Oryzias latipes: one gene and its partner. The protein of the gene in region 1 interacts with the protein of each later gene in a pairwise test. Links are inferred from orthologs where the notes say so. Each region holds a gene or a part of one and is shown on either strand. Other genes may lie near its edges.

What was found. The genes of interacting proteins can lie anywhere in the genome.
Region 2: the proteins of uba52 (region 1) and ube2r2 interact in a two-hybrid assay, tested with the Homo sapiens proteins (2 studies listed by BioGRID and IntAct, with this or other methods). The link is inferred for Oryzias latipes from reciprocal best matches to the Homo sapiens genes UBA52 and UBE2R2.

Annotation. Positions count from the first base shown.
Region 1 is NC_019862.2:13,930,026-13,935,389, reverse strand, and holds uba52 (ubiquitin-60S ribosomal protein L40), read left to right. Parts: upstream 1-1,823; 5' UTR 1,824-1,927; intron 1,928-2,367; 5' UTR 2,368-2,376; coding exon 2,377-2,479; intron 2,480-2,668; coding exon 2,669-2,755; intron 2,756-2,882; coding exon 2,883-2,985; intron 2,986-3,268; coding exon 3,269-3,358; intron 3,359-3,969; coding exon 3,970-3,979; 3' UTR 3,980-4,109; downstream 4,110-5,364.
Region 2 is NC_019863.2:17,254,724-17,259,889, forward strand, and holds the start of ube2r2 (ubiquitin-conjugating enzyme E2 R2), read right to left. Parts: upstream 3,308-5,166; 5' UTR 3,061-3,307; exon of another isoform or gene 2,748-3,060; 5' UTR 2,668-2,747; intron 2,389-2,667; exon of another isoform or gene 2,380-2,388; 5' UTR 2,379-2,379; coding exon 2,202-2,378; intron 1-2,201. UniProt on the Homo sapiens protein: E2 ubiquitin-conjugating enzyme that accepts ubiquitin from an E1 ubiquitin-activating protein, and catalyzes its covalent attachment to other proteins by an E3 ubiquitin-protein ligase complex.

The DNA.
Region 1 (5,364 bases):
AACAGGGAGCAAGTAGGATGTTTAGAAGGGACACAGTCAGAAAATATGATAGCTGTCTTAATAGTAAGTGTTGAAGGAATGACAAGTACAGAATATGAATCCAACTCTCGACCCTTAATATGGGAATAAACCTGTAGGTTTATGTTATGTAAAAACTAATCTGTGAAATTAAGACTATTTGTTGTTCATTTTGTTAGGTAAAAATACACATTTGCTGCTTATATCTAAAGAAAATGTTAAAGAACAGACTTGACGCATTTACTTTAAATTTCATTTCTTTGTTTTTTTTTGTGTTTTTTTACTGTATTTTACCTGTAAATTGTCCTTGAGAATTTTATGAAGTGCTTTTTAAAAGTAAATGCTTGATGATGATGATTATTGTAATAATAATTATAACAACAATAATAATATTTTATTTTTGATCATTATAAGGATTATTATTACAATTATTATTTATTTTTATTTAATTTTTGACACCTTTTTTGTATTTTGGCAACTTCAGGCTTTAGGTTTATAATCATCAATTTTTAACAAAAAATAAACTGGGGGGGGGAGGGGGGTGACTGAAAAATGTGATCGTTTTGTGTCAAAAGTATTTTTCTTTTCCTCAAAGGTCAGTTAATATTGGATCAGGTTAAAAAGTTACATTTTTGATGAGTCCGACTTTCTGAGAATCAAAGTTACAAGAAAACACCTCTCTTTATCTAGAAATGTCCCTTTTACTGGGAAGAACATAATTTATTGCTTTTGTTAAAAATTAAACTTTTTTTTTACTTTTCTTACATAATCTAATTTAATTACATCTGGGGAGTTTTTTCCTAGACAAGTCTGACAAATGATTGTATCATTTTAATATGTTGAAAAATTCAGACTAATGTGTGATGAAGAAAATGTGGATTTAACCCAAAAGTTTTAAAACAGCGTAAATGAACAAACGGATCTTGGAATGTACTAGACTTGTCCTCTTGCTGAGAAGGAAGTGATCCAAAGTTATATAATTCAGCAAATCCGATGCTTGGTGCATTTTCAGTTGAGCTGGTCACAAAACTTTCAATTTTATTGTCAAAAGAAAAGTTGGCATGAATAAATATTATAAATATAAAACAAATTCCAGTCCGTGTAAGCAGTTATTGCATCCATTTAGCATCTAATTCACAGATTTTAACCTTTGAACAGGACGAGAGAGAAACCAAGATTTATAGTATTGTTAATACTCTACAATCTTTTGGGGCACTTTAAATCAAAAACTTCCACTTTTATTAAAAGTCCCAATACGTCACATCTGAACAGTATGTAAATCTGCAATGCAACTAATGAGATATTGTACATTTTTTTATGGAGAAATAAAACCAACTATCTATGAAAATCTGTCACTTTTTATTCCTCTGATGAAGGAAGCTTACATTTTATTGAACTTGGCACACTTACCGATACACTTAAAGTAATCTAGATTAAAGAATTATTTAAATAACCCAACTCCTTTTTTGACACTCAATCCTCCTGATGTGTCACAATCTCCCTCTAGGTAGTTTCTGCTTTTTTTCTGTTAAACATTTGAAGCTAAAGATAAGAGCTTGTTCCAGGATGATCTTGTATCTATTCCATCGGCCACTTTTTATACCAATATTATTCCTAATTTTAAATTGAATCAAAGTCTGTTCTTTACCACAAATTCCTTTATAACAAACAATGTCATATTTTTGTACAGTATTTTACGTATTTCAGTGCAAAAAATGAATACTATAGCATGCTATTTTACAATTAGTAATACTGAAAAGTCAAGTAAATAAGATTTATTTAAAAACTAAATTTAAGAAAAAAATTTCTTATTTGATTATTCTTTTTTATAAAAAATAAAACGGAAGTCACGAGTCTCTTTTCAGCGACGTTTCCGCTCTCTTTTCGTGGAGGCTTAGCTAGCGGCCGGGTGAGTACACGTTGAGTTCATTCTACGGTTATGCTATTTTAATCATTTATGAGCTACTGAATTCGACCATACTAGTCAATTGTTGTCAAATAAACATACGATTCACATTTGTATTTTGCTCACATGGCTTTAATACGTAAAATTCCGCTGATCTTGACTAAATCCATCGCTAACTGTAGGCATGTGGTGAGGCCTGACTAGCCCAGTAAGCTAACAGCTAAACGAACATCTACAGGCGTTCATTTAAATACACAGTAATGACTTTATTAATTCTTAAACATGCATAGCAAATACAATATCAATAAAGACTCTGAAGATTACTTGTTTTTGTTTAAAAACGTTAGTTGGACCTCAGCCAGAGATGCGGCGTAATCTCGGGTCTAGTTTAGCTAGCTGCACTTGTACAGAAGTGTAAAATAACTATCTTCTTTTTTATTCAGACTGCAATCATGCAGATTTTTGTGAAGACATTGACGGGGAAGACCATCACCCTCGAGGTAGAGGCCTCAGACACTATCGAAAATGTCAAGGCTAAGATCCAGGATAAGGAAGGTGAGTTCATATGAACTAATTAAAAGCAGGGATGTGAAGTTTTTTGTTTTTACGATTAAATAGCTTTGTTGTGTTACATATTTCAAAGTCCTATATGAAGATATTTATATATTAATTGATATAGGTCATATTAATTGATATAGTTCTGCCATTACGTGTTTGGTTGACTTATTTTTACCTTGTCTGCAGGAATTCCCCCTGATCAGCAGCGTCTGATTTTTGCTGGAAAGCAGCTCGAGGATGGACGCACCTTGTCAGACTACAACATCCAGAAAGGTATTGGCTCTTTTTGCACAATACTGGTATTGAAATCAACCTGCCAAATGGTCCTTTGTAGAAGGCGAGGTTAAAAGTGCTTGTGTATTCTGAGCCTGCAGTTAACAATATGTTGTCTCCCTACTAGAATCAACCCTTCATCTGGTTCTTCGTCTGCGTGGTGGTATCATTGAGCCTTCACTCAGACAGCTGGCTCAGAAATACAACTGCGACAAGATGATCTGCCGCAAGTAAGATTACATGTTGCTATTTTTTGAAATGGCTTCCAGGTTGAGAAACCTGGTTAAAAGTATACAAACTTGTTATTCTGTAAAGTTGAAATTTAAAGGATTACCTTACCTGAAATGCTTTTGTAAAAAATGCATATTCCTAAAGGCACATACAGTTGTGGGCAGTTCTCGACCTTATTTTCCCAACTTGTGGTGTTAGCAGGAGCAGCTGTGAGCTCCACCTTTTCCTATAGATTGTCTTTATTTTTTCTGAACCCTATAATATCCCTGGTCATTTTTGCAGGTGCTATGCCCGTCTGCACCCACGTGCCGTCAACTGCCGCAAGACGAAGTGTGGCCACACCAACAACCTTCGCCCCAAGAAGAAGCTGAAGTAAACATTTCAGTTGAATTGGCATTTTGTGCCATTTGGTGTTAAAATAAATGTTAACAAAACCATTCCAGGTGTTGTTTATTTAGCCTGTGGAAAAGACGAAAGGTATTGGAAGCTGCAAGTGCAAAAAGTGAGGTTATCTTTAAAAAAAGTTGCAGCTGGTGACATATTATTTTTGTTTTTCAGATTCCCTAAGTATCTAATATTCTATCATGTTAAACTGTGTTACTTGCGTTACAATTGTTCAGCTTAATTAATTAAATCAATGAGGAAAAAACTGGGCTTCTGACAGTGGGGCCAGCTTAAAGAGAAAACTTCAGATACCATTGCTCCACAAAGGGAAGGTATTGTTAATAGTAAAACTATTTAACCTTTTTAAATATTCCCCCCCAAAAACCTATGCAAAAGTAACAGCTGTCCAAATTTGTAGTCCTGCCTTGCCTCAGTCTAAAGCATTTAAAGAGCTATGGCAGATTATATTTGTGATATTTAATGGCCCATAAATCTGATCATATTGGAGCTTGTGTACTGTACTAATGGACCTCATCACAATGGAAATTGGATAAAGAGAAGGTAAACCAGAATTGACATTTCTGCTCTTTTTTTGACAGATTCCACTGAAGGATTTGTGGTTTACATAACCTAAATGAACATATAGCTGGTTTGATTTCCTGCTATATTTTACAGGTTATCTTAAATCTTGCATGCTTTTTGGTGATTTTACAAGACAAATCTTTTAGCTCCACAAAAATTATATGAAAAGATCATAGTGAGACAACTATTGTTTAAATCGAAAGTTATATCAAATCAATTATTTCCGTAATGGCGAATGGGAGCTGGATGATCATTCCAAATCAAACGTTTTCATGGCTCTATTGAGAAATTCTAAGAAAGATCAGATCATTTTTGATATAAATCTAAGTGTATGGGTGGTAAATTAAGTTTCTTAAAATGATTAGAAAACCTGGGCTGCATGGTGGCGCAGTGGTTAGCGCTCTTGTTTCACAGCAAGAAGGCCCCTGGTTCAAGTCCCGGCTGGGGGACATGAAAAACAAAACATCAATGGAAGACCTTTCTGTGTGGAGTTGGCATGTTCTCCCTGTGCATGTGTGGGTTTTCTCCGGGATCTCTGGCTTCCTCCCACCATCCAAAAACATGTTTAATCGGTTAATTGGCAACTCTAAATTGTCCAAAGGTGTGAGAGTGAATGGGTGTGTGATTGTGGACATTCCACCCTGGGACAGACTGGCGACCTGTCAAGGCATCCCCTGCCTTCGCCCAAAAGTGGCTGGGATAGGCTCCGGCAGCCCCGTGACCCCGAAAGGGACTAAACTGAATAGAAAATGAATGAATGAGAAAACTTGTTGAAAACTTTTGTTTCCATGTGACCAAAGATGTACAAAAATAAATCCTTCTACACAATCTTTCAGTTTATGAAGTGTTTAACCCTTTATATGCATTTGTAAATTGAGAATATTAGTAAAGACAGGTTGCCAAAGAGGATTATTTTCTCTAAACATACTTGGAGGATGAGGTTTTGGCAGTAAATGAGTGTCGTAAATGTGTAAGATTAGCAATAATATTTAAATACATAATGTAGAGTGAAATGGACACATGACATAAGCATCATTAACTTTAATGTCCTTACTTTTAAAACTTTACTCTTCAGTGTAAGACTACACATACTTTAATTTTAATATTTGATATATTTTTAAACGCATTTAAACATAAAAAAATGTATAAGCAACTTTGAATTGACCGTTGATCAATTGCAAATGCAATGATTTCAAAAGTTATCCAGTAAATACAGCAAAATGGAAATTAGAAACATGTTTAACAATTGTGAGAATTTGAATGTGTGCAAATATTTAAGAGAAATTTGAACATTTGGAGTTTTGAAATTGGTCAATTAGTAGTTCCTGTATTAAATATGCTAATAATTTAACATAACAATCCATCTTAAAGCTTGAAGTCGGTTCCTTTTTTAAAAGCTGAAACACTCAAAC
Region 2 (5,166 bases), on another chromosome or scaffold:
AAACATGACATGTTATTTTTTAAGGCCTCAGCAGCTTAGAACAACAAAAATACACTGAATGGCAATATTTTAAGTTCCAGTAGTACCAATGAAAACTTTATGAGCATGATTTATGTATTATGACATAGATTAAGTCTCTGTGCTTGCATAATTTGCTAAAAATCAGGCACATTCTCTCAGAATCAAAGAGAGACTAGTCTGTGTGTCTGTGACGTCTTACTACTAGGTCGGAAAAACCTCTATCAGATCCTGGAGATCTCCCACCCTGCCTGTTTTCCAGCTTTTCTTTCCCTCCTTGCTGCTGATTTGCAGACTCGGGTGATTTACTGAACACACCTGATCCAGCAAAACAGTAGCAAGAAGAGCAGGGAGAGCTGGAAGTCAGGCTGCGTGGTAGATCCTGAAGGTTGGGCAGCAAAATGATTGAAAATCTAAATGATTCAAAATCTGTAAAGTTTTGCTAACAATTGAGAAAAGAGATCAAACTTCTCTACAAGTTTTAAATACAAACGACTTTTTTTACTTGGATATAGACGTAACACCTGACTTTGTAATAAAATTCTAGGATGCAGCAGGAATCTTCCCTAATTGTGAATGTTTCCTGAATCTGCTTTTATCGCTCATCTTAAGCCAGTATTGCTTTTGCTGATTTTTCTCTTTTTTTTTTTTTTTGGTCTCTCAACACACATTTCTGTGTTTGTTTTCCACCACTGGCTTCTTCCTGTAGCCCGCTTCTCCTGGAGATTTCTTCTGTTTAAAGGCAGTTTTCCTGTCCACAGTCATTTCAGTCATTTCTGTACATGTATACTCAGTACAGCAAAAATACAAGATAGTTCTTCAGCCTCACTCTTTGGCCACAAACCACTATTAAAAGACATTTATTTCAATCTGACTTTGTTGGGGTTATTTTGTCCTATTTAAATTTTGATAATAAAAATTATAGGATTTAAAAAAGTTTTTACCTTGTTTTTGTCAGGGATTTGTATGTAGTCTTTGTATAGCACCCTGAGGAAACCTTGGTTATGAAATTGTGTTTAAAAAAAAAAAAAAAGAACTAAAATCTGTAAGGTGGCAAAATGTTTGTACAAATTAACAAACATAGGCTACCAAGTACATTTCCAGTTTAGCACGATAAGGAATAAGGAACCCATTTGTGGTAAGTGGTCTGTATCTGTACAAATTTTGTATCTTTCTTAAATGCAAGACTTTGCAAAGGAAGCTCCACCGTTCATGCTTGAATGTGCAAAAGCGTAAGACTTACCAAAAAACTCACAAGTCCTCTGAATTTGCACTTACAATCTAACTACTCAATAAAGGCCCCAATAAATAAGCAGTTTTCCAATGAGCATTAAAGACCCACTCCACTGCAAATCGTGTTTTTGTTGCTTTTAACAGGTTCTTTTTTCTCACAATGGAGGACATTTATAAAGACAATTAAGCTTAAAATTGCATTTCCGAGTATTCCTTTACTCAAATTGTTGTGAACCAGGAGCAGACCAAAAAATGTTGTTGGAAAGGGAGTTTATTTGTGATGCAGAAAATACGCTGGGCGAGCCATAAACTACTTTCTCCGCTCCCCCTGACCCTCTCACACTCAGGTGTGCATTAGTAGTAGAGATCAACACTAATGTGCAGGAAAAGCTGATCAGTCTATCATTCCAGTCCAATGTGTGGAAATACTTTGAATTTTGCAAAGACATGTGACCATGCAGTGAGCTAGAATGTTCTAATAATGCTCCCTTTGGATTATTTTGATGTGGGAAATAACAGTAGGCTGAACTTTATAAAACTAAAATGTGAATGGATTTGACATTAACTCTTGTGTACTTGTATGTTTGTACACATATTTAATTTACACTTGATTATCGTGCAAGAAACTCCTGGGATCTGGAAGACTTTACCTTCACTGTTCAGTTCTAAGTATTTATCTCTGAGTCACACTGGTGGAATTTTGACTAAAGATGTCCTGTATTTATTTTAGGTCAGTAAATTGGATCAAATCGGATTGTTCAAAATGAACCAATATCGACAATGAATCTTATCGTCAACCAAAAATTATGATATGAATCAAATTGTTGTTAAAATGAATCGTTACAGCCGTAGGGTGCCTCCACAACAGAACGCACTTTCATAAATCTATCTCCTTAAACATCCAGAAGCTGGATTTCCTTGAGTACACCCGATTGGAGGGTTTGTCCCACCTTGAAGTAGCCTCCCTCATAGAGGGTATTTGGGGGTCCGAAAATCGCCACCTCCCAGTTGTAAAGGTCAGCCTCCTCCACCAGGGTGATGCGGAAGCCTTCCACCGGCTGCTCCTGCAGGGACTTCAGCTCCATCATCAAGGCCTTCTGTGAACTGGGGGTTGTCTGGTGGGCCATGCTGATCCCATTTGCAGCGGGGCAGGAAAAAGAGGGGGGAACCAATACATGTGGTCACATTCAAGATGTTGTCAGGACGACTACAGGAAAAATTTAAGGATCATTTTTAGATGCACTTGGAGCAACACTCTCTGAAAACCGCAAACAGGAGAAAAAAAATCAGTAAGTGGAACGAATTAAAAAAACAAAACAAAACAAAAAAACAAGCCCAAACATGCTGTGTGGCCTGCCAAGCTAGGTTCAGTTCGGAGGCCCTTTAAGGGGGAAGAAGTTAATGAAAAGTGGTTACCTCTCTCCTTGCACTGCTTTGTGTTCAGGTCTTTACGGCTCAAACCACGTAGATAATCTCATTTGTCCATACTAACCATCCTGTCTCGACAAAAACAATAACAGGAACAGCTGATTTCAACAAGAGCCTAAGGCTGGTCCTCGTGTTGTATTTTTGTTCGAAATTCTTTTATGTGCCAGCAGTGTTGACAGTTGCCAGGGAACAAATAAATATCAGTCTGACACGGTCTCCTTTAGCTTGTTCTCGGGCTCACACTTGTCATTTTCCTCTCCGTGCCATCTCTCCAAGCACTCGGTTCGATTCAGACTGGCGCCCAGCTGATCGCTGCGTGTTTATGTTTGTTTATCTGTTCTCCAGCAGTCTCAACTTCTCCAACGTCAGCTAAACCCCTACCGAACAACTTGGGTCAAAAAAGAGGAGCTGTTCCGCTCCCTGCCGTCCCCTCCAGCACAGCAGCGGCGTGAATCCCGGGGACGTTCGAGCCCGCGGTCGCAGGAAAGACCCAAAGAGAGACGTTTACATTCAAGTATGACAGTGGATTTAATCGATATTTTATTTTTTAGCCTATCGATGCTTCCGGCTATCATTGCGCGTGTCTGTAGAACGTAACGAGCGTAACAACCCGAACGTGACGTGCGCGCACTCGACAGAGCAGAGGGGTAACAGCGCGTGCTTTGACTTACTTTGTCAAAAACAGACCAACACGAATTACTTTCTAAAAATAATAATTATAACACATGTTCAAGATAATGTCTTTTATCTTTCACTTTATTGAAAGTAATATAAGTTATTCTTTCGGTGTAAAAGTAACAAAAAAAGTGTGTATGTCTCATTATTATGCTAATCGAGTATTTAATCTTCAACATAAACATTTGGAGAATTTTATTTTAATTAAACATGATTGTTTAAGTCTCGCCATGTTATAAATAAATAATATATATATATATATATACATATATATATATATATATATATATAGAGAGAGAGAGAGAGAGAGAGAGAGATTATTTAAAATCTTTATGTTTTTGAAATTATGGAAAACATTGATTCCCATCTTTGTCTGACGTTTTGTGACGCCACACAGGAACCAGCGGAGGGTGCTCTGTAAATCAAGATGGCGACCTACGACGAAGCAGGAAAGAGAATTCAGTTTAAATAAAACTGATTCGAGGACCAGTTTTATCCCTAGTTCGAGCATACATCGGGTTCGTTTGGATTCTGAGAGAACGGGCGGAACAAAACGGGTAATAATGTTTTTTTGTGTTTGAGTGAGTTTAGTTTGACGTGAGGGGCGGTGGCGGTATAGACAGGTCTCGTTAGGCAGGCCACAGACGAAGCTAAGCACATAGCATGGACTATGGCATTCTGTACCATGACATAACCAGGGCTAATGTCAGTATTGGAATTTAATAGTTCTTTCTTTTATTCTAACTAAAATAATACCATGTTCACAATATTGCTATACACATAAAAAGTTCCAGCTGTCAAGATCGAGGTTGTAGCTTAGCCACTAGCTAAAGTAAAGCTTTGCCAAATCATCACAGTAAATAAACAACAAAAATAATAATAAAAAAGAACTTTATGCTTTTTCTAAGTGAAAAGTCACATTGGCAGGCAGGCGTTACAGCCTGGGGGTTTGTAAAAATATGATCCCTGCTTAGAATCCGACGTGAACGTTTGGTCGACAGTGACTGACATTTCGTAAACAATCTTCATGATATAATACGCACATGACATAAACATGATGCGGGAAAAAAAATAACCTGCGAAAATCTGCTAAACCCGCGTTTGACTTGTTATGTAACTTCACAATGAAAGTAAAATACTCCTAAAAGTATCATTTCAACACTTCCTTATCCAGTTTAACCGCAATTCTGTCTTAATCTAACAGAGATGCGTAAAGTAAGAAGTTGTTGTCTACATATGGTATATAAATGCGATCTTAACTGTTGTCCTAGTTACGAATCTATGACCTTTAAAAAGTTAACGCTCTAAAATTGTCATCGCAGACAGAATCCCCCTGATCACAAGATGCTCTGTTGATCATGTGTGGTCCGGGGCAGATTCCCGAGACTAACATTTAACCTTTGAGTTAGGCGCACAACAGTATTTTCTCCCAGTTTTGAGTGTTGTTGCAAAAACTGCATGTTTAGAATAAGATGGTATTCTTCATGTAAAGCACGATAATCACCTTGTTGTAAGTGGCCGATATCTAAAAATAGTTGTTTTTCATTTTATAACGTCAGTTATAGTATGATCTGATAGCTTAGTTGTTACATGCAAATGTGTACAAAAACATATTTGCCTGTTAGAATAGATAATAAGCAGATTGGCCAGTATGTCATGTATAATGTTGGTTCATTAGGAGGGAGTAAATTTGACATTCGGCCTATCCTGCTCTCTGGCTGATTCACCTTTATTTTTGAATGTGTTCCCTTGTGTTGTGTTAAAATAAATTTTTTCCAGACTTTGGATTTAGTTTTGTTTTCTTTTTCATGT